Neurospora crassa OR74A: one gene and its partners. The protein of the gene in region 1 interacts with the protein of each later gene in a biochemical or structural test. Links are inferred from orthologs where the notes say so. Each region holds a gene or a part of one and is shown on either strand. Other genes may lie near its edges. The genes, in order: mdk-1, NCU03137, NCU04637 and gul-1.

What was found.
Region 2: of the proteins of mdk-1 (region 1) and NCU03137, one has a biochemical effect on the other in vitro, tested with the Saccharomyces cerevisiae proteins (9 studies listed by BioGRID). The link is inferred for Neurospora crassa OR74A from reciprocal best matches to the Saccharomyces cerevisiae genes PHO85 and PAH1.
Region 3: of the proteins of mdk-1 (region 1) and NCU04637, one has a biochemical effect on the other in vitro, tested with the Saccharomyces cerevisiae proteins (2 studies listed by BioGRID). The link is inferred for Neurospora crassa OR74A from reciprocal best matches to the Saccharomyces cerevisiae genes PHO85 and RVS167.
Region 4: of the proteins of mdk-1 (region 1) and gul-1, one has a biochemical effect on the other in vitro, tested with the Saccharomyces cerevisiae proteins (2 studies listed by BioGRID). The link is inferred for Neurospora crassa OR74A from reciprocal best matches to the Saccharomyces cerevisiae genes PHO85 and SSD1.

The regions. Positions count from the first base shown.
Region 1 is NC_026503.1:4,279,923-4,285,778, forward strand, and holds mdk-1 (cyclin-dependent protein kinase), read left to right. Parts: upstream 1-2,079; 5' UTR 2,080-2,541; coding exon 2,542-2,610; intron 2,611-2,699; coding exon 2,700-3,644; 3' UTR 3,645-4,855; downstream 4,856-5,856. Other genes in the region: NCU07579 (hypothetical protein), read left to right, coding at 5,283-5,562, 5,653-5,781.
Region 2 is NC_026501.1:4,686,067-4,692,195, forward strand, and holds the start of NCU03137 (nuclear elongation and deformation protein 1), read left to right. Parts: upstream 1-2,722; 5' UTR 2,723-3,378; coding exon 3,379-3,832; intron 3,833-3,897; coding exon 3,898-5,975; 3' UTR 5,976-6,129. UniProt on the Saccharomyces cerevisiae protein: Mg(2+)-dependent phosphatidate (PA) phosphatase which catalyzes the dephosphorylation of PA to yield diacylglycerol. Required for de novo lipid synthesis and formation of lipid droplets.
Region 3 is NC_026505.1:1,374,583-1,380,388, reverse strand, and holds NCU04637 (BAR adaptor protein RVS167), read left to right. Parts: upstream 1-2,049; 5' UTR 2,050-2,765; coding exon 2,766-2,801; intron 2,802-2,959; coding exon 2,960-4,301; intron 4,302-4,378; coding exon 4,379-4,404; 3' UTR 4,405-5,149; downstream 5,150-5,806. Other genes in the region: NCU04636 (cysteine desulfurase), read right to left, coding at 1-86, 275-1,098, 1,171-1,441. UniProt on the Saccharomyces cerevisiae protein: Component of a cytoskeletal structure that is required for the formation of endocytic vesicles at the plasma membrane level.
Region 4 is NC_026505.1:3,211,303-3,217,238, reverse strand, and holds the start of gul-1 (cell wall biogenesis protein phosphatase Ssd1), read left to right. Parts: upstream 1-2,356; 5' UTR 2,357-2,982; coding exon 2,983-3,106; intron 3,107-3,330; coding exon 3,331-5,936. Other genes in the region: gle-1 protein, read right to left, coding at 1-360. UniProt on the Saccharomyces cerevisiae protein: Can suppress the lethality due to deletion of SIT4, and partially the defects due to BCY1 disruption. Is implicated in the control of the cell cycle G1 phase.

The DNA of each region.
Region 1 (5,856 bases):
TACCGAAAAATTAAATTAACAAAATTTATTTTAATATAGAAGAATACAGAGATAGAGATTATCTACTATTTACAATCGTATACGCTCTATACCTCTAATTATACTAATATAATCTTACAAATATATAATATTGTTTTCTAATTACTATAAATAAAGAAAAATTTATTACTAAACTACATTTAATCTATATTAAATAGGTCGAGAAATAATCTATTATACAAATAATAAATACCGGCGAATTTACCCTCATTTTTATTAATAGCAGGCGTTTAAAGAATATAACTTTTAGGTATACAATATTATTTAACCCTAAGGAAGCAATAAGCAGGAAGAGAGCCCTATTCGCTAATAAATAGAAAAAGGGACTTTAATTTCTCTATAACCAAATAATTTATAGTAGGGCAAAATAATTATAACGTTTATATAAGAGCTAGAATAATCCAATACGGTTGGAAGGGAATAGTAGGCCGAAATTAATTAGGTCGGAATAGGCCTTAAACATTAGGACTACCTATTAGTAAATAAATTATAAAGTTACATATTACATCCTATCGGCCAATACTTAAACCCTAAACTATATCTAAATAATTATAATTATTATATATAATAATAAGAGTAAGGTTAGAAACAATATATTTAAAATTAGTTTAAAAGTATTAATATAAATTATAAGATAAATAATCGACAGTACTAACTATTATAAAAATTATAAGAGTTTTAATTATTACTATAATCCTAATATAAAATATATAAATACTAAAAGTAGATAAGGTATTTTAAATACGCCTAGCAACGCCGTTAATATATAAATATAAATCTATAATTTACAAAAAGAAATCGGATTTGCCAAGGGCGACAATATATATAATAATAATTAAAATTATATATATTATAAGCGAAATATAATTACTATAACGAACTTATAGTCCCTACGTTTTCTTATAAGCGCAGGTATACTATATTAAACCTGTAAGAAACAAATATAATTTAGGCGTATATTTAAGTAAATTATTAATATATTATTTAATAATTAATATAATCTATTATATATTATACAAATCTATAATATTATATAATTAGTCCCCCTATAGAACGGAAGAAGCACTAAACTTTATAAAAAATAAGAATAGGTTAATATATTTAAGGAAAAATATTAATTCCCAATAAAAGCTCTTTATATTATATAAATTACTTTTATTACTAAAATATATTGTAATACTATTATAATAGAAAATTTCGTATATATAATTATTATATAGCGTATTAACGAATTACCTAATATAGGATTCCGATAGCTAGTTATTACTTCGAATTATCTTAACCCAACTACAAATAAAAGGTTTTAATATCCCCCTAGAATATAAATATACTTAATACTTTTAAATAAAATAAGCGAAGTATTAATCCTAATTAGTAACGCTTAAATTACTTTAATCCTATAGTAGTAGGCTATATTTAATTAGGTTCAGGAAGGTTGGAGGGCCGCGGTAAAGGGTCGGAATTAAAACCCCGGGGTTTAAATACATACAAATCGAATATATTATTATAATTAGAATATTCGGGAGAATACTAAATTTAAACAAGAGGAAGGGTAAATTAAATACAAATATAAAAAGGTTATTAAATAAAATTAGAACGGCCGTTTCCTAGAACGAATAGTAAATTATATCGAATAAATTAAGCGTCGTAGGTCTATATACGTTACTCTAATCGGAATTATAGTAAATAAAAACAAATAAATTACGTATTACGACTTTAGGGGTTTCGCTCTAATTAGAATTACGGAGAATAAAAACAAATATATTACGTATTACGACTTTAGGGGTTTCGTTCTAGTAAAAGTAAATAATTAGAATTAAGGTGTATCTTAACTCTAACTAGAGCAGAGTTCAATTGCAATAGTTGGGCCCCACAGCGGCTGACGGCCGAAATACTCAAAATTGGCTCAGACCTGCTACCGCAGAAACGGGTGGGGTGGGGTGGTTTTGGAGGTTAGTGGGTCTGACTGAGACTACTGCTGTACCTGAGGTCCCCACTGCCCTTCCTGGCGCGCGCCTGACCCAACTGAACCCAAACAACCAACCCAGGGCAACCTTATTTCCCCTTCCATGTCCACGTTTGACCCTTCCACCATCCGTCCTCATTCCGACATCCACGCCCGACCCTTCCACCGCCTGCGAACATCTACCGTACACCATCTCCCATAAAGTCTGAACCGCCTCTCCCATACCGCCTACGATCGCCACTCCCATCTTCACACTGTTCTAGACTTGTTAGATTTATCGGCGCAGAGACTGCTTCAGTGCATCTCTGCTCTCCATCACGGCTTCTCACGGGCGACAGCTGCCTGACCAACAAGACCCAACAGGCGGCGAATCCCCCAATCCCCTGCGCAAGACGGTCACTATTGGCTCTGTACTTTTCAACCGCGCCCATACGACCCAGCGACAACCTTCGCCACATCCTCATTATCTAGTCCAACAGTCCTCCGTTTCTTCAACCACAGCCCAGTCGGATCTATCTTCGGCACTCAGAGAAGCCATGGACGGCAGGAAACACCCAAGTTCTTTCCAGCAGCTTGAAAAGCTGGGAGAGGGTACTTATGCTACTGTAAGAGATCTCTCCTTGGCCCAGAACTGTCCCTCGGTGAACAGGGAGAAGTATTTGTAGGGTGCAAATGGCTGACACTACGTCCTCAGGTCTTCAAAGGCCGCAACCGACAGACGGGCGAGCTTGTAGCTCTCAAGGAGATTCACCTTGACTCGGAAGAGGGGACACCGAGCACGGCAATCCGCGAGATCTCGCTCATGAAAGAACTGAAGCACGAGAACATTGTTGCTCTACACGATGTTATTCACACCGAGAACAAGCTTATGTTGGTGTTTGAGTACATGGATGGCGATCTTAAAAAGTTTATGGACACCAACGGCGAGAGGGGAGCCCTCAAGCCACATGTCATCAAGTCCTTCATGCATCAGTTGCTCAAGGGTATTGACTTCTGCCACAAGAACAGGGTCCTACATCGAGACCTGAAGCCGCAGAACCTCCTTATCAACAGCAAGGGCGCTCTGAAGCTGGGTGATTTCGGTTTGGCGAGAGCATTCGGTATTCCAGTCAACACCTTTTCGAATGAGGTCGTCACTCTTTGGTATCGAGCTCCCGACGTGCTTCTTGGAAGTAGAACCTACAACACCAGCATCGACATTTGGTCCGCGGGATGTATCATGGCTGAGATGTTCACCGGCAGGCCTTTGTTTCCCGGCACCACTAACGAGGATCAGATTGTTCGCATTTTTAGGATAATGGGCACGCCGACGGAACGTACATGGCCTGGCCTCACCTCGTTCCCCGAGTACAAGCCTAACTGGCAAATGTATGCGACACAGAGCCTGTCATCCATCTTACCTCAGATTGACCGCGACGGCATCGACTTGCTTCAGCGGATGCTACAGTTGCGGCCCGAATTGCGAATCTCGGCTCACGATGCGCTTCAACACCACTGGTTCAACGACCTGGTCCACCAACAGCATCATCACCAAGCGCAGCAGTCAATGATGCAACAACCGCCGATGATGCAGCAACAGCCAATGATGCAGCAACATAGAGGCTACGGACAGCCGCAACCCAACTACGAGGGCTACTAGACAGAGTACCTTCCAAAAACCGGAAGGCAGACACCGCCGGTTTTGGGGTTTCCTCCACCAGTTTTGTGGCATCGACCGATGCCAGTAGTGTCAGGATCTCCTCCACCAGGATTCAAGAAGATTTGGGAGCAACTGATGCCAGTAAGAGAGGGCTACTACACCGAAGAGCAGTTTCTAGGAGAGCGAACAATGCCAGGGTATCCTCCACCAGGGAGATATCCTCAACCGATACCCGGACATCCTCCAGCATGGAGAAATTATCCATCAATACCCGGACATCCTCCAGCATGGAAATATTCTCAACCAATGCCCGGGCATCCTCTACGTGGGGAACATCCGCAACCGATGTCATGGTATCCTTCAAACCAACAGGTTCAAATGGGGCATTTATCGAGAGAAAATGGGTTGGTTAACCGTGGCATGGGTTCGACTACAGATCTGTCAATGGCGTGGAAAGGAAATTTCAAGAGTGGCAATTCTAAATTGGACATGTCACGGCGGTCACTGCCCGTGGACCCCAGTCTCAACCCGTTTCAACATGATAATGGACAGCGAAATATAATGGTGCCACACAGGCCCCCAATACAAACAGGTGTAATGGGTGATGGACACCCAAATGCGATGCCGCCGCGATTTCAGTTGCTTCAGTCATCTTTCATGCCTCCGGTCCCCCCTCCTCCACCGGCCTTATCGAGGTTACCGGCGTCACATGAGCCTCGACATAAACAGATTGAATTTCCACGAAGTTTCCAATATTAATTCATGATGTGAATGGTCCCGGACCTAACGCTGGAAAGAGAAGTTCATCTGTTTTCAGTTTGAGAAGCTGCCGCCTGGTTCTCGATCATTCCGGACAAGAACATACGCCGATGTTGCACGTTCCTCAAGCTTTACTCGCGACTGATCACACACGGCGGAAGAGCACAATAAATAAGTAGATGGTAATCTTTGTTATCATGTTTACTTGGGATGGTCATTATCTACAAAACGGGGGCATAGCTGGAGCCTTGAACGAAGATGACGGGAACAGGGTAGCGCACGCCAGAGAAAGGCTTTTGTGCCGTACTTATGCATTTGCCTTTCCTTTAATTAGTAGTTACGATTAGCAGCGAAAGTTTCCATATATGTTGAATTAAAGCGAACATTGGTGATAGTCCTCATTATTCTCATTATTCCCCTATCTGTTTACTAGAGAGTTTAGGGTGTTCTCTCAGTTGGGTTGAATTGTATATTTGCAATTCGAGATAGCACCGTTATACATGAGTTGTGAGAACTGTTGGTGATATGATGTTCGGCTATTATTACGCGGTATATGTACATTGTTTAAACAAGCGAGCTTTTGTCCCAAGCAAAACGGCCTTTCGCGATTGTTGACATTGCTCCTCCTATAGACACAATGACCTTTTTTTTTTTTTTTTTCATGTTCCTTCCAGGTTGTTGGCATGATGCATTAGGTAGGTTCCCCAAAACTCCACGCTGCCCGTTGTTGAAGGTGGAACACCCCGCAAGAGAGTGGGCGGGAGCATCTGGGCTACTACGTATCGATAAGCCTTGATCCCTGGCCGGGCCCAGAGGTGCCTGGACGCCTGGACCTGCTCCACCTGATTTGTTGTAGCCGCAGTGTAACCAGCGCCGGACATGGCGCACTGCGACGGACTTGGACGCTACCAAAGAGTCGGTACTGTTTGGCACTGCCCGAGCTTGATCCATGCCCTGCAACAACCAACCGTACAACAACCCATTCCACTTTCCAACGACAACTCGTTCCTGTGTCTCCTGGCCATCGACAACGCAACTTGTCGCGACAACCAACCGACCAGCCGTCTCTCCATCGACAACCTCGGGCTTTCTACTGCATGCTCTAAACCGCCTTCCCGGGAAACAGTCGCCGCGATGGCTGCCGTGGAGTCACGCAAAGGTATGGCACACCTTCGGACGCGCCCGCAATGATGGCGAAGACGATGCCTTTCCACAGAACGACGCTGACCATGCTTGTGCGAGGGAACAGACCAGGAGGCGACCACTATCAAGGTTGCCTCGTCAAAGGCGATCCGTAATGTCGTCAAGCTGAAGAGGCAACCAACAAACAAGCTCTCCAGGATAGGCAATTGGAAGGATGCCATAGCACCGCTTGACAGTGTGTACCCATTCATCACCGAATCCATCAACCTGTTCCTCTTCCCCCGCTAACCGATTGCTAACACACATTTAG
Region 2 (6,129 bases), on another chromosome or scaffold:
GGAGCCCGGGGCGTTGCATACAGAGTGGAAACCAAGCTGGAAAGAGGTGGAGGTGGGTGCAAAAGACATCTCGGAAGTGGAAAGTTTGACAAGCGACAAGTCACAGCGGCGTGAGGGGGCATCATGAGCCACCTCACAGCGCTCGGCGGGCGGACGGTGGCAGCAGCAGCAGCAGCAGCAGAGCAGGCTGTCCGGCTGTGCTTTCCCTGCAAAAAGGATTTTCTCTCTTGCAGTGGGTATCCACATCCTGACGTCCCCTGCATTGTCTCTGGGGAAGTGGATAAGTGTCTGTTAGTGCAATACATTAGTATCTGAGGGAACTCTTAACAGTCCATGGGCTGGTACATGCTGAAACATCGTACATAGACATCAGGCCATGCGGCGCACTTCCACTTGACTTCAAAGCCGATCAGATCAAGGGACGGTAACTCCAGACAATCGCCAGCATTTCTACTTGCCTCCTAACTCCGATCCTTCACAGTTTTTGATGCTCCCCCGCCCTCCAGGATCCCCGCAACCGAAAGCCCACGATGGAATGGACGTTCGCGATGATGCGCCTATCCCAACCCCGCCAGCCGCCTGCTCATCTTCCCCGCTATTATTCCCCAGCTTGCCCAGTCGATGTTGCTCGCTTGAAGAAGGACTGGTGTGTGGAAGCGGGAGAGAAGGATTTACCCGAATGCTCGCGGGATGTTACGTGTACGACAGTCCTCTTTTCGCTTTAGATGGTGGACAAGAACACCGCCGTGCCGTTCTGTCATGGTACCACTTTTTGTTAGTCGCGAACAATCGGGTCTGGATCAGGAAGTGAAACCAAGATCATTGAAGGGGTCTTTGTTCAATTTGCAAACGCTCGGGTGATATCCCAGAGGGTTCCATATGGGCGCAAAAAGGTAGCTCCCGTCCTGGGCCAGAACTGCTAAGCATGCGATCGGGAAAGAACTGTCTTGGCCTCTGATACCGGTATGTAGGCTTTCCCCCAAGTTTGAGAATACATAGCAGCTTGAGTGGAATGCTTGTAAGAGGCTGCGCAATCTAACCTATAATATTCTCGTTCTTTCAAAGGCCCAAGAGAGTCTGCTGATAGTTTACTCTTGTTTACCTATCCTGAGATTTCCTACCGTTCCCGTCACTGCAAGTACTATGTAAGCCGGGTGGCGACTTGCACAAGACTGAAATACAAAGTCCGTTGCCTCGGACGGATCTCCGGATCAGCCTGCCATCTTCACTAAATCCCATTGAGAAGATGATCTGGCCGTGAAAGGTGCCTCTCAAAACACTATGCTTACTTACTTTATACATATGTTGTAGCCTGCCTTTAGCTGGAAGGCAACTAACTATAAAGCATCACACCATTTTTGCTTGGGGATAGGGCTCTACTCATCAAATCGATCCGTTACGCCTCCGGATTTCCCAACAAATATCACCACCGACCCCCAAGGACTGAGGACGTACTGATCCTCAGCACCGGGCAATACGCTCAGGCTAAGATTGCCGTCCATAACCCCTTACGGTACTACACGTCTTCCAGGCAGCTGGGGTAAGGCTCTGCCTTGTACTGTATGCGGGATGAAGAAAAAAGGCGCTGGATAAGCCGTGGTATCCCCAGAGGCCTCGCACCTTTGTAGATAGTGTATGTATCTTGTCTCGCCCCTTGGGCACAGTTTGGTGTCACCAGGTGTACCCGTAAGCCGATAGAAACCCGGGATACACAGCGAGAGTTGACGTTCACGGCATATCTCAACCCAGCTACCTTCAGAGTAGACGGCTGCAATACCGCCGGGAACAGACAATGGACACTCAGCGAGCGACTGCTTCTTTTTTTTTTCACAACGACAACCGCTTGTTGACGGCTCGTTGGATCACTTAATAAACGTCAGTCAAACGAGACTGACAAGGTGAGAATACGAAAAAGTTCCATTTTCAAACTCGCGGTGTCAGTGTCAGTCAGCAGGACATCAGGGGAACTTGAAGGGTACCTGGTAGTCCAGCATAACAAACATCCCCGTGACCGCTTATGACACCAATTTGTGCGGTTGGATTGGCCAGCCGTGTTAGCTCGTTGCAGACCGCCGAGGTACCAGGCTGGTAAATGACTATATTGCCGTCTTACAGGGTATCGCTAGAGACTTGCACCAAGTCGGTAAAGTGCGCGTGGGTTGATGATGGGGAACAGCCGGTGCAAATGCAGTCTTGTGCCTGTCTGCTGCCCTGACAAGAGGCCGAACTCATCAAGACAGAATTAGATCTGATTGTTGAGAAGGGAACCGCCCTCGTGATTCTGGAAGGTTGGGCGTTGGGGATGATCCCGTTTCTCATTCCGCCTCACCGGGTATGTAGAGGTGGATACCTACCTACGTATTGTCTGGTAGTTCTACTGGTTTGTTGTTAACTTGGTACCTAGGCACTCACTCGTAGAACACTGAATGAAATGTCTTCCGAGATGTCTCCAACCTGTTAAGGACTAAATGAATGGCTGGATATAGATCCAAACGGCATCCATAAAATTCAATACGGTGTAATTTAGCTCGGAAGAAGCATAATCGCCGCTTGAAAACCCACGGGGAGGTTGACCCGAGGTCTCGAGCTAACTTTCGTACCAGTATAGGTTGGACTGCACAACGAACAACCTAGCCGGTTCCTTAGTTCCTTCCCTTTTAGTTCTACTCGGCGGATCGCGATCCGTTCGCCATGCCCCAAAAAAACACAAAGTTTCTACAACACGAGCTCTTCAATTGTCGTGCAGATTTTGGTTCCTTAGTTCGAAGCATATGATTCTGAAGAAAGGGTTTGAACGCCCCCTTCGGACTTTTCACACAGTGTTTTACCGTACTGCGCATAATCAATCCACTCCCCAAGCCCAGCATCCCACTTGGGTTGCTACCTTCCTTGTCTTTCACTGCTTGAACCGCGGCAGACGTTCGTCATCAGATCCGCATTCACTGGGCAAAGTCCCCCAACACGGCGCATTCCTCAATACTTTTCTCCCGGCATACTCGCACCACCAGACGGGAAGTGAACGAGTCGGATTCACTCACGCACACCACGTTGAGTAACCATCCATTCGAGACGACAGAGCAATTGAGGCCGGGTGGTCAGAGCCTAATATCTCCCTACGCATATCGGGCGTTCATCCGGCCTTCCCGACCTCGCCCAACACACTAGAGAACCCCTACCGGTCGCCTACCGGTCGCCTACTCGAAGTCGAGAATCGAGATTGCGGTCGACATTACATAACCGTCCAGACCGCATGTAGCCTTGCCATTTGACTGCCCCCCCATATACCGACATAACCAACAAATACCCCCTCCCTTTCCCCTTTGACCATCAAGAGGGACACATCCTTCTCGACGACAGAACGAGTTGCGATTGCCTACCATGCAGTACGTCAGGAGTCTCGGCGACTCTGTCTCTACCGCCTGGAACTCCATCAACCCTGCGACCCTCAGCGGTGCCATCGACGTGATAGTCGTTGAGCAGGAAGATGGCACCCTTGCATGCTCTCCCTTTCACGTGCGTTTTGGCAAGTTCTCGCTGTTGCGCCCATCCGAAAAAAAGGTCGAATTCAGGGTCAATGGCGTCAAGCAGGACTATGCCATGAAGCTGGGCGAGGGAGGCGAGGCCTTCTTCGTCTTCGAAACTACAGACACCATCCCTCAGAGCATGCAGACGTCGCCCATCGTGTCGCCCGCCTCTAGCCCCCCGCTCAATGCCGACCAGTCAGGGCCTCTACAAGAACCTGAATCACTCGATCTGAACTCGGTAGAAGGCAAAACCCGTTCTTCGAGCTTCAACCACAGGCCTCCTCCCACTGCTCTACTAGCACGAGACGGTAAGCGCTGTGTCCAGCTTCCACGCCGCCATGATCGACATATACTGACAAGCATGGGTTATAAGGGTTGCTCACACCTCGTTCCGTATCACCAGATCCTATCAAGGGTGAATGGTCTCCGTTTCGCCCACATAGCGATGGCCTTCTGCGGCAGTCAGCGCGAAGAATGCCAAGCGATGGCAGCACCCACGAAGGTTCAGAAGAAGGCGATAGCCACACCGAAAGATCCCGCAGCCCGCCGCCGCTTACAGCACCCGAAGCTCTTCAAAGGGCAATGAACCTCTCCCGAGAGCTCGCCGCCGCCAATATCCCTAACCACATCAGCGAGACCGGAGACCTCATGTTAGATATGACTGCGTTCAAAAACAATGAGGAAGACGCCTTCCGGGCTGAGATCCTTGCGCGCAAGATTCTCACGGAGGAGCTTGATGGCAACTACGACATCGGCGCACTTTTTGGCGTTGACGAGCATGGAAACCTTTGGATCTACAGCAGCATCGAGGCGAAGGAGGCCGCCATGAAGAGGACGATGGACCCCCTACGCTCTGCATCTCACATGGGCAACATTGATGCGGCTTCTGACCCTGGGTATCAGAGCGATGCTAGCGATACCTCAGCCGCCACGACTCTACCGATCCACAGGAGAGCTGACTCTGATGTCGGCCAGATGACCCTGCAGACACCCCCAAGCTCTCCCGGCAGTTCGGCAGCGGGCGATCCCAATCGGAACTACGCAAAGACCTTGAGGTTGACTAGCGACCAGTTGAAGGCCTTGAATCTGAAGCCCGGCGAGAACTCAATGAGCTTCACCGTGAACAAAGCTACCTGCCAGGCTTACATGTTTTTATGGAAGCACGAGGTACCCGTGGTCATCTCGGATATTGATGGAACCATTACAAAGTCTGATGCGCTTGGCCACGTGCTGAACATGATCGGGCGCGACTGGACGCATGCTGGTGTAGCCAAGCTGTATACTGATATTGTAGCCAACGGGTACAACATAATGTATCTGACGAGTCGGTCTGTCGGCCAGGCCGACACTACACGAACTTACCTCGCAGGTATCGTTCAAGACGGGTACCGTCTCCCACGCGGACCTACCATTCTCTCACCCGACCGAACCATGGCGGCTCTCCGTCGCGAGATCTATCTCCGCAAACCACATATCTTCAAGATGTCCACGCTTCGTGACATCCGCAACCTCTACGGGCCCGATCGCACACCGTTTTACGCCGGGTTCGGCAACCGTTTCACGGACCAAATCTCGTATCGCACGGTCGACGTGCCCCGTAACCGTATCTTCACCATCAACTCTAATGCAGAGGTGTCACTCGATTTGCTGAGTCTCAACAAACTCAAGCTGAGTTACGTCAACATGACCGAGGTTGTCGACCATTACTTCCCACCTGTCACCACGCTCATCAAAGGCGGTGGCGAGGATTATACGGATTTCAAGTATTGGCGAGACCAGCCTTTGGATCTTGACGAGTTCTCTGCCAGTGACACCGAGGACGAGCGCAGCGGTGGCCGAAAGACATCTGCTCCGGCTGTTGTCGATGATCATGAAAGTGAGTACGAGGAGGATGACGAGGAAGAAGTTGGCGACGGTCTTGTGGACAGCTACATCTCGAGAAACTCGGTGGATGATTACGAGGAAGGAAGCGTGGCAAGTGAGGATGGGGATTATGATGCAGAGGATGATGGCGAGGATGATGGAGAGGATGGTGAGGAAGAGGAGGGAGAATATGATGAGGAGGCTGCGCCCGAGCATATGGTTGATTCGGCTATGCTGGACAGCGTGTATGTGGATGCAGATGCGGATGGAGTAATCACTGACGACGAGGACGCCGAGGGAAAAAAAATAGTTGAAGAAGAAGAGGTGGACAACGAAGAGGAGGAAGACGGAGGACTCGGCGCCGAGGAAGAGGAAGGGCTCAGACGTGCTGCTGCCGATCTCGAACAGGCAATGAAGGAGCAGGAGAGGAAGAGGGAACCAACTGAAGCTCAATTGCAAGTGCCGGTTGAGCAGCAGTCCAGGGACAGCTCAAGCTCATCGGTTTCGCCCAAGGTGATTGAGCCAGATGCAGATGCTGAAATTATCACTGGGATTAAGGATCTTACTGTTGAGAAGGAAGTGAGCTAGAAGAAGTATGTAACACGAGAAGAGGGTTTGTGATCAAATATCGTTACCATGAAGAGGGAAGATGCTATTTGAAACTTCTAACAGCGATAGAATAACACACACCCGAGGAAAGGCGGAGGAGGAGGAGGAGGAGGAGGAGGAAAAGGGATGGAAG
Region 3 (5,806 bases), on another chromosome or scaffold:
GGATCACCGTTCTGGCTGGTGTGCTCCATGGAGAGCAGACCGTTGAGAAGACGGTCGGAAAGGTGCTTGATGCGCTTGGAGTCGTACTGTTGTAACAGTTAGCGCCCATCCTTGAACGAGAGATGCATTAAATGTGGGATATGGAAGAATCATGATCAGAGAAGTTGCTGTCTATCAACAAGGAGTCCTTGTCACGGGACTTCAGAAAGCCATGCATGTGTAAAGCGACTCATCATAAAAGGGGCAAAGGAAGACAAAAGAGACTGTAACATACCGGCATTTCTTCCTTGGCGATGCGGCACGCCTCTCCGAAGCCGACAACGAGCGGAGGAGCGAGCGTGCCGCTGCGAAGACCTCTCTCCTGACCACCACCGCTGATAATGGGGTCCAGTCTGACTCTTGGCCGACGACGGACGTAGCATGCACCAATGCCCTTGGGGCCGTAAATCTTGTGGGAGGAGATGGACATCAAGTCAATGTTCATGGCGTTAACGTCAACGGGGATCTTGCCAACAGCCTGGGCAGCGTCGGTGTGGAAGAAGATCTTCTTGGACCGGCAAAGCTTGCCGATTTCCTCGAGGGGTTGGATGACACCAATTTCGTTGTTGACAGCCATGATACTGACGATGGCGGTGTCGGGACGGATGGCAGCCTCCAGCTCCGCCATGTCGATCAGGCCGCTGCTCTTCACTGGGAGATAGGTCACTTCGAAACCCTCGTCCTGGAGATGCCTGCAGCTGTCGAGGACACACTTGTGTTCTGTCTGGCTGGTGATGATGTGCTTCTTCTTGCCGGACCGGCCAAAGAACCTAGCGACGCCCTTGATACTCATGTTGTTGCTTTCGGTGGCACCGCTGGTGAAGATGATTTCCTTGGGGTCAGCGCCAATCAGATCAGCAATGTGTTTCCTCGCCTCTTCAACGGCCTTGTCAGTCTCCCAGCCGTAGGCATGTGTCCTCGAGTGGGGGTTGCCATAGACGTTGGTGAAGTAGGGCATCATGGCATCGAGCACTCTGGGGTCGATGGGGGTTGTGGCCTGCATATCCAGGTAGATGGGACGCTGTCCCTCATCCATCACGGTAGCATTGCTGAGAACATCTAGTTGAGTCAGCAACGAGGACGACTGCGCAATATGTCTCCGAAGAGGTGGGAGGTGATGATGATGCTTACCAGCCATGGGGCTGACGTGTTGGCTCGAGCCATTTTGCGCGCTTATAGTGAGGCCCTGCTTCTCCATCTCCCTGTGATCCAGCTTGATAGCATGCTCGGCCTGCACGTCGGCGTTGTTCCTCTTGGTCTCGGTCACATAGCTCCTGGAAGCAGAAGCAGTCTTGACAGCAGCCGCAGTAGTCGCCCGCGACAGCACACGCGCGCTGCGGAGAGGAGCGGCCGCGGCCAAGCGCGATGCCTGTCGCAAGACGGACGGCGCAATGGTGGACATGGTAAAAGGAAGAAGAAAGAAGGAGAGGAAAAGAGAATATGGTGGTGAGGGTGATGGCGGATGAGGGAGAAAAAGTTCGTTTTGTAACCAAACCTACAAAAACGGATGGAGGCAGCGGGCGGGGCGGCTCAAAACACACTCAGAAATTCAGATGGAGCTGCCGCCTCCCGCTCTTCGGCGGTCGGAGTGGAATTTCCGCCATACAGAAAAGAACAAATCGAAACAAACGGCATCCGCACGCGGACTTGGCCTCGGAGGGGTCGGTGATAAAGGAATGTGCCAATGAGGGGCGACAACCAACAAGGTTTGGCACTTTGATTGGTCATTCTGCCATCGGATGGCCCCACCTGTTTCTTTCTCGGACATCGGACAAGCGCGTATGTACGTACGGCGAAAATGACGCTGCTCCAAAATGTTAGAGAATGGGCCGCCGGGCATGACGGAAACTGAACGCTCGATGTGCACCGCGGCGACTGACTTGACAAATACAGTGCGGAATGTCCACTTGTGAAACGGACTCCGCGGACGCATCTGATCCATCATTGCACAGAAAGGAAGAGCACTGACCCGGGGCAGGCATCCATCTGTTCTCTCAATCGGCATGTCCACTGGGATGAAAGCTACACTACAGCGGGCCCCAGACCCAGTCGGTCTACCCCGTCGTTCCAATTCGTTCCTTTCCGGGGTCTCATCGACCAAAAGCAGAACAACCGATGACGGTACCTATTTACCTCCTCGGTAGTATTCTGTTTCCATTCGCATTGGATGTCTGCGTTGGACTATAACTTGAACCATCAGTGACATGCCATATAACCGCCGACAACCTACTTGAATTCCATTTACACTGCTAAACTATTTAGTAGCATCTTACCTCTAGGACAGCTACCTCTAGCTACTTTACCTCCTACCGTTGAAGACCGAATCCTCCCCGAGGAAGTTTGTCGGACCTCGAACGGAACTGCTGACAAGGGTCCGACCGACGGGATTCAAGAACAAACCGAAATCACAAGACGCCTAGACAAAAAGACTTTTCACACTACATCTTGGAACGAGGTCGCTGTGTGCGGCGTGTCCAACATTCAGCAAATAGCAGCGCCACGCAAACCGTCGCAAGCTTCGCTCAGCCAAGACTTCGTCCACCAGCCAAACGACCTGCACCGCCCCCCTGCCCACCCCCAGCGTCATCACCATCGTATCCGGATCCGACTTGAAGAGGGCACTCGACCACCGATTGCCTTCAACCTCTCCGAACAGCAACCCGCTTTGCGCATCTCCATACAAACACCGAATACACATCAGACATCATACGGCTTCGTAGCAGAATATGAGCTTCAGGGGCTTCCAAAAAAGCGTGGTCCGCGTAGGTTCTGCCCCGCATACCTAGTTGATCTCACCTCCCCTAGTTTCGGTTACAGCGTCATCATCACTTCCGCCCTTCCCGTCGAGTCCCCCGTCTGTGGCAGAAATAGCGCCGAATCACTCGGGTTGGCAAACAGGCACTAACACGACAGAAACCAGGCACCACAACAATTCAAGCAAAAGTTTAACCTCGGCGAGCATACCAAAGACCCTGTCTACATCGACTCGGAGCGCAGATTCCAGGAGCTCGAAACCGAGACCAAACGCCTTCACGATGAAAGCAAAAAGTACTTTGAGGCCATCAATGGCATGCTGCAACACCAAATCGAGTTCTCAAAGGCAATGACCGAAATCTACAAGCCCATCAGCGGCCGCATGTCCGATCCCGATTCGCTCGTTCCCCATGGCAACTATGAGGGTATTGCCGCCTGCGAGGAGTACGAGGCCGTTGTCAAGGACCTGCAGGAAACACTGGCGCCAGAGTTGGAAATGATTGAGGCTAGGGTTATTCGGCCAGCGAACGAGCTCCTCGATGTGATCAAGGTCATTCGCAAAACGGCCGTGAAGCGCGAGCACAAGAAGCTGGACTACGACAGACACCGCGCCACCCTCAAGAAGCTCCAGGACAAGAAAGACCGGTCGGCAAAGGACGAGAAGGCCATGTGGAAGGCTGAGAACGAAGTTGAGCAGGCCACGCAAGAGTACAATTACTTCAACGATCTGCTTAAGGACGAGCTACCCAAGCTGTTTGCCCTCGAACGCCAGTTCATTCAGCCGCTTTTCCAGTCCTTCTACTACATGCAGCTCAACATCTTCTACACCTTGCACGAGAAGATGCAGCACTGCGACATTGGCTACTTCGACCTGACCCTGGACATTGAGGAGGCCTTTTACGCGAAGCGAGGTGACGTCCAGGAGCGGGCTGAGGCTCTCTCCATTGTCAAGTTCAAGACCACGGGTATGAAGCGACCGCCCAAGTACCAACGTCCAGGCGCTCTCGAAGGAAACAAGCCAGCAGGCCTACTTACAGCTGGCTCCTCCACGACCACTTCCACCGGTCCGCCTGAGGCGGCTCCCTCAGTCACAGCCCCACGCCCCTGGGAACAGCAACAACAAGCTCCTGCCGTCACAGCACCGCGACCTTGGGAAACCCAGGCGGAAACAGTAGAAGCGCATGCGCCGCCACCGTATTCGGTGAAGCCGAGCACGCTACATGCTACGCCCGCCTCCTACGCCGCTCCAGTTGCCAGCCCGAAACCCTCGTCGTTGTCCATGGCGGCGGCTGCAAAGGCCAAGCCCCCACCGCCGAAGCCCAAGCCCAAGGCCCTCATGGCGGCGGCACCCAAAGTAGAGACCGTCACAGCGCTTTACGACTACTCGGCGCAGGCGGAGGGCGATCTGAGCTTCCGTGCCGGTGATGTGATTGAGATAGTAACAAGGACTGCGAACGAGAATGAGTGGTGGATTGGAAAGTTGCATGGAAAGCAGGGTCAATTCCCAGGTACGTACTGTACTATTTCTTAGGGTGCTTGCTTTGTTGCGAGCTGGATATGTTCTGACACAATGGTCTTTTGCTAGGAAACTATGTCCAGTTAAACAGCTAGAGGATACAAGGCTACTTGTAAATGTAGTTATCAAAGAGTTGCTTTCAGCACACTTCACTTCTCAGCACGACTTCAACCTATACCCCTTTTTTGTGGACCCGTTCATGGTCGAGTTATTCATTTGCAACCACAACACGGATTCTTTCTAGTTCGTCTACATCGTACCAGGCCGTGACGTTCTGTAGCAGGGCCTTGGTGATCCTATACGGATGCAATGATATGCGGCAGGTGACTCTGTTGAGAATAGTCAGGCAGGAGGAAACTCCGTCGCGAAGGAGGACCTGCGAGGAGCGTGGAGCGAGAGGGTCCCGGGTGTTTGCGTCTAGGGAAATGGCGGGTGTATTGTTTTGGAGCGAAGGAAGCAACGGAGTGAAAAGGTCACAGTGCATTGGGTCAAACCTGGAAGTTTTGATTAGATGCGTTTTGCCATGATCGCCGTCGTGGTTTGTTCCCTTTAGGTTAGGTACTTGCCCGCGCGTCAAGCTTCCTCAGGTGAAGCTAATTTCTAATTTTGTTAACGCAACGACCACGCAGCTCAGCTTGAATCTAGTGTCACCAACAACCGCTTGCCTTGTCAAAACTACCTGGCTCGGCTTCACCTCCTGGCTCGACTCCAAGGATTCAGGTTTTTTTTTGGGAGGAAAGAAAGATGTGTATCATATCTGCTACTCATCTACAGGTAGGTATCACTGAAAGCCATGGCAAGTGTACTGGAGGGTCCTTATTGGAAATACCGATGTTGAACGATGGCCTCCAGCTAAGATGCAATGCTTCGGTGCCCTGGATAGCGAGGTCCTCTGGTTTAGCTTCAAGTGAGAGACATGCACCTGCCTTGTTGTACAAGACTAAGGCTAACAGAAGCTTCCAATAATGCGCCAAGCAACCCAGCTGTATGCTCCTCCCTCCAATTCTCCATGAGTCCCTCCGTGGCTGTGAAGCAAGACAGGGAGTCACAATCTCCAGTATGTCGGGCAAACCCAGATCTATGGGCTTTTAATTCCCCTCTTCTCACTTGCACACAAACTCTTCTTCCTCTTCTCACAAACACCACCACTACCACCAAGCGCAGCGTAACTCGCAGACTCCAGGCAATCTTTTGGCCGCCATTTTTTGGGTATCGTCTCTCTATTTGTCTTGCGGTTCGCAGTATTATGTCATCTCTTCTCCCCTGGCCTCTTTCTTCGTGTTGATACACTTCAAGCGTTTTTATTTGGAACGAAGGAAATCTTGCACTAAAAGAAAGAAAACACCCCCGGCTACCAATCCCCTTCCGCAAGACCACTCTCGACAGCCTGTCTGAATCAGTCCCATCAATTTGCGTTGGACTTGCCTGGCCTTATTTTGTTGCCGACTCTTCTCTCAATCGTCCCCGCGGAACAGACAGGCCCATTCAAAACATCCG
Region 4 (5,936 bases), on another chromosome or scaffold:
TGGAGATGGTGCCTTTGCTGGCTCGAAGTCAGGCAGGACAGGCGGGATCTCGATTTTCTTCGCCTTGAGAGCGTTAAGCTTCCTTCGCTCAGCAGCAAGTTGTTCTTCTGCTCGTATCCTTTCCTCCTCTTTCTTGCGCTCCTCGACCAGACGTTCCTGCTCTTGTCTCAAGAGGTGTTCCTGGTACACCCTCTCGGCCTCCTCGCGTACACGTTCATGTTCCCTCCTAGCGGCCTCAATCAGAAGTCTATGCCGGGCCTCGGAATTGCGGTCTCCAGCAAGAATGTCGGATATGACTGATCGCGAGGAAGGGCTTGCCCACTGGTTGCCGTTTGGGCGAGCGGGGGACGAACCAGCCATCCTGTCGGTGGTTGGATGCGCTGCTGCTTGACAATCCCAGTCACCCGTCACGATTGCCGGACAGGTGGTACACTGGGGAAATTTTCAGGCAGATATATCGCTGCTTGGTTAAAAAAAAAATTGGGTGATGTTAAGGTGATCGTCCGGTGTTGTGTTCGGCTTGACAGTTGCGGAAGGGTACTATGGACACTATCAATTGGAGTTGTACTTTGCGCGCGTCGCGAGTCCAATAGCACTAAGTCCACTCCATGGGTGCGGTTTTAGTATGGCGGCATCCGTCTGTCTTGGTATCTTTACACACTGTGTGTGGTTAGGTGCAGTGGTCCTTGCAGCCGCTTTTGGTGGGGGAGAACGGATGGAAGTGGCACCTTTCTATAAACCAACCTGAAATCTAGCCTTGATGTATTGTTGGCAACAAAAACCTACCTACCTGTGTAGATATCACAAAGCGGCTTTGGCATCTATAACCCAAATTTAGATGTCTGCTCCTGCTGTGTTACGCTGAAATATCTCCAGGTCCTCGGGCGTCCGTATAAATTACAAAGTGATGGGAACAGTCAAGAGAAAGGGCTTCGGAGGTACAGCTCTTTGAAGTCGCCATTGTATGTACTTACGAAGCTAAGCTAAGGCAACGTGCTATTGACATCTCAAACGAACTTTAATGCAGGATGTGTGATGAATCAAGGATTCATCTTTTCATCGCAAGTTACTGCATAGGTATTACTTTGATCCATTGGTGCTGTGGACAGCAAATATCGTCAAGAAGGTCAGCTTGTGGTCTTTGTATATGGCAGATAGCAACTCCATTAGTTCCCGCAGGTATCCGTGTCTCTCTTCTCTTCAACCTCTTTTACGAATCGTACCGTCATCCAAAGACACAGACCCCCAAAGCCTGCCGGAGCTTCTGACACGGGAGACACGGCTGTCGTCTTGCAGTATGCGGTGTACTCGCGTCGATCCAGGGTTTAGGGTATCACCATCACCATTGACGTCTTCCCTGTTACGCCGGCAAGGCCAGTCCATATTCCCCAGGTGATGCCGGGCACATCATGATATGGGTTGGCGATCCTCTTTCCGACCACCGTTGAGTTTCCCCGAGAGAAACGTTCGAGCACGTATCTTCGAGTACATCTCGAGTTTGTCGTCCCTGTCCCTGTGCAGACACATTCGTGACAGGGAAGCATCGCCCAGCATACGCCATGTTTGAGATATCCTGAATCTAAACTAAATGAGGTATGGGGTAAAGACGATTAGCGGGAGTGTCCACTTCTGCCATTTGTGATTTTCCCGAGTCTGCTGAGGAACCGTTTCCCCACTGGCATCGTTGATTGGTGTAGGTAGTGTAGCTTCCCCCGGATGCTCCTGTCGCGGTCCTCGACTCTTCGAAGCTCTTGGCTATTGAACAGAAACTCCAGAAGTAGGTATGCAGTGGATGTCATGAGTGCAGATTTCCTTTTGAACAAAGGCCAGGAAGAAAAGACGGTTTTATAAAAGGGGCTCAAAGGTTACTTCATTCAGTAGTAGTTGGGTTGTAAGTGGAAGGGAAGAGGAGCACGGTGTGTCGCGCACATGGGGTATCCGGTGCACCACCCTCACACCCTGCGTGCTTGCACCTATCCTGGCGCTACTAACGGTAGCCCACCACTTCAGCCAACTGCCCAGCACCGCCGCTGATAGGTGCAACTGAAACCGTAAGAGATGCCTGCCGTGAACCCGGACCTTCCATGCTCCGCCGCCGCACCGTGTACACCTGCAGCATGCGCCTCCAAGGAGGGACGGACCTCACTCACCTCAGCAGGACGGACTGCCAGGCGGGCGGGCACCATCCTGTCCCGTCGTTTCCCTCTCACGCATCAGTTCGTCACTAGCATGTAGTCTAGGTGAGGTAGGTACCTCTAGGTAGATACTCTAGGTACAACCTAGCCAGCCCAGGATGCCCGCCGAAGGATGGACCTTTCGGGTTCCTCTCGCTGACTGCCGCTGCGGCGCTGAAAGTGCTCTGCTCCTCCTCCTCCTCCTCCTCTCAGGTCCAAGGCCCAGTCCTCCTGACTTCCTATAGCACCGAACCTCTTTCTCCCGTCCTCCGACTCCTCCTCCTCCTGCACTCTCCCTTTCCCCTTCCCTCCTCACGAACCTCAATCCGCATCGGCTTCAGGCTTCCCTCTAGCTTCAACGTCAACTAGCAAAGCCGGACACCTCCCTCCCTTCTCTCTACACTCCCTCGTAGCAACTTTTCAATCTCTCATTATAACCTCTTTGGACTTGATTTCTTTCATCCAATCCGCTTTAACTGCGAAACAAAACTGTCCTTTGGGGCGACGTCTCCGCACCGCAACCAAACATACCGCAACTCCCATCGCATCTGATGCATCGCAACGGCAATCCGGCCACACAAAAAAGATAAACCCAGCTCAATAACCTTCCCCCTCGTCTCTGTTCGGTCGACCACGCCTCGATTCGATTCGACTCGACTCGACTCGACTCGTCTCGTGCTCTACTTTACTACTTCTTCACACGCTTTAGGTCCAACGCCGACTTCGCCTTGCATTCGCACTCGACGTGCACGTTTTCTGCCTGGATCACCCGAGTCATCTGCACCTGTCCGTCCCAACAACCTGCATCATGGATCAGCAACAGCAGCCTCAAGGAGGCGTCTCTGGCCCCGCCGGCCGACGGCTCCATATCGCCCATCGAAGAAGCCCGTCGGAGCTGACCCCGTTGATGAGTATGTTTTCAAACACGAACAGTATGTTTTGAGTTTTGCTATTGTCATCGCCATTGCCATCGTGTACTATCGCGGCGCCCCTCTACCGCTCTTGCACTGGTCCGTTCTTGTTCGTGGCGAAAAGCTTCAAAAGCCAATGATCGTACCCCTGACCCCGTCGCGTTCCCGTCTTGTGTCCTGACTGTAACCCCTCATCCCCCTCTTCAATGCGCTGGCGTACTGACTGGATCTTTTTTTCGGTGCAGTGGAACAGCTTGCCATCCAGCAGCAGATCGAACTCCTTCAGCAGCAGCAACAGCAGATTACAGCTCAATATGCCAACCTCGGCATGCTTCCGGCCACGCAACCCCTGGGCCCTGGCGGATTCACCAACTTCCAGCCCATTGCCGGTTTGGCGCCTCAGGCGGGCTTCCAGTTCCCGGTCCAGCTGCAGCAGCAGCCGCCCCTAGCTCCTCCTACACAACCGCTTTCACATCGCCGTAATCAGTCGGCCATTCCAAACATGGGCATGGGGGGCCCGCCGCCTGCTCCCTCTGCCGGCGCCTCTGGTTCGACGTTCGGCAACTTCCAAGATCCCACCCAGGGTCACGCCCGAGAGAACAGCACCGGCGGTCGTGGTGGTCGGGGTGGATCCGGCGGCGGTCATCAGAGAAGACATTCCTTGGCCTTGGCTGATGCCAAGAAGGCCGCCGAGATCGCCCAACAGAAGCGCACGACGTCTACCTTCCAGTTCCCTGCTGCTCCTGCCCCTGGCTCCTCCGAGAAGTCTGAGGATGATGCCAAGACCACCCCGAGCACCACTCCTGCTCCGGCGGAGGGCCAGATAGCTCAGGGATCGTCGTTCCGTGGCGGTCGTGGCGGCCATGGCAGGAGCCAGAGTATGGCTGTTGGTGCCAATGGCCGTGGTGGCCGCGGAGGCCATTTCTCTACCGACTCCGTGGGCCAAGGCAGCGACTTTTCCCGCCGCGCTCCTGGTAGCGGCCATGCCCGCACTGGTTCCCGCAACTTCGACGGCAACTGGAGGAACCAGAACCAGAACCAGAACCAGAACCAGGCTCAGGACCAGACCGCTGCCCTTCCTCAGAGCCAGGGCTTCCAGCCCGGTCACCGCAGCCGCGGCTCGGTGAGCCAGTCCATCTCTTCGATTGGATCCTTCCAGTATCCTGGACAGCCTCAGCTGGTTCAGTTCCCCGGTCAGATGATGATGCCCCAGGTTTTCCCTGGCCAACAACTCAATCCGATGCAGCTCAACCAGCTTCAGGCTCTTCAGCTTGCTCAGATGAATGGTCAGCCACTTACCGGTCTTGCCGCCAGCCAGCACGCTCCTCAAATGGCTGCTCCTGGTCAGCAAAGCCAGCAACAGCAGCGCAAGACGCTTTTCACTCCTTACCTTCCCCAAGCTACTCTTCCTGCCCTCTTGGGTAACGGCCAGCTTGTTTCTGGTATTCTTCGCGTGAACAAGAAGAACAGAAGCGATGCGTACGTCTCGACGCAGGATGGCCTGCTTCCCGCCGATATCTTCATCTGCGGCAGCAAGGATCGCAACCGTGCTCTCGAAGGTGATCTCGTTGCGGTCGAGCTGTTGGATGTTGGTGAAGTGTGGGCGCAGAAGCGCGAGAAGGAAGAAAAGAAGAAGCGCAAGGATATTACCGACACTCGTTCTGGCTCCATTAGTGGAGGCCAAAATACTGGTGACGACAATGGCAACGCTGAGGGGGGACTCCGCCGCCGTGGCAGCCTCAGACAGCGTCCTACCCAAAAGAAGAACGACGACGTGGAAGTTGAAGGTCAAAGTCTTCTTTTGGTTGAGGAAGAGGAGATCAATGATGAGCAGCAGCCTCTCTTTGCTGGTCACATTGTTGCTGTTATTGAGCGTGTTCCCGGCCAAATGTTTTCTGGTACCCTTGGTCTGCTCCGCCCGAGCAGTCAGGCTACGAAGGAGAAGCAGGAAGCTGAACGCGCTGCGAGAGACGGTGGCAATGGCCGCCAACAAGACTCGCGCTCCCACGAGAAGCCCAAGATTGTTTGGTTCAAGCCCACGGACAAGCGTGTTCCTCTGATTGCCATTCCTACCGAGCAAGCACCCAAGGACTTCGTGGAGAAGCACCAGGACTATGCGGACCAGATCTTCGTGGCTTGTATCAAGCGCTGGCCCATCACTTCTCTGCATCCGTTTGGTACCCTCGTTGAGAAGCTGGGCAAAATGGGTGATCTTAAGGTTGAGACCGATGCCCTCCTTCGTGACAACAACTTCGCGTCCGACGAGTTTGCTGAGGCTGTTTTGCGCAACGTCAGCCAGCAAGACTGGTCGCTTGAAAGTGAGGATCAAGCTGCTCTTGCCGCTCGCCGTGACTTCCGTGGCGAGAATGTGTTCACTGTTGAATTAGATAGCTCTGTCGAGCTTGGCAACGGTGTTCATTTCAAGCAGTTGCCTGACGGCAAGATCGAAATTGGTATTCACGTTCCCGATGTCGCCCACTTCGTCAAGCCCGGCTCACTCGTTGACCGTGAAGCTAAGAAGCGCGGTACTGCGGTCCATCTTGTCAACCGCTTCTGTGCCCTTCTCCCCCCCAAGCTGTCGAGCGAGCTTTGCACCCTCACTCCTGAACAGGATCGCTTGACTTTTAGCGTTGTGTTCCACGTCAACCCCCAGACTGGCGCGGTGGCCGAAGGCGACACCTGGATTGGAAAGGGTATCGTCAAGAGCGGCGGGAAGGTGTCGCTCAGCGAGATCGATGAAGCCATTTCCGGTAGCAGCGGATTCTCCCATCCATCTGTGAAGGCCCTGGACATCCAGATTCTCAACGCTGTCGCCCAGAAGTTCCGTGAAGCTCGCTTGGGCGCCGGTGGC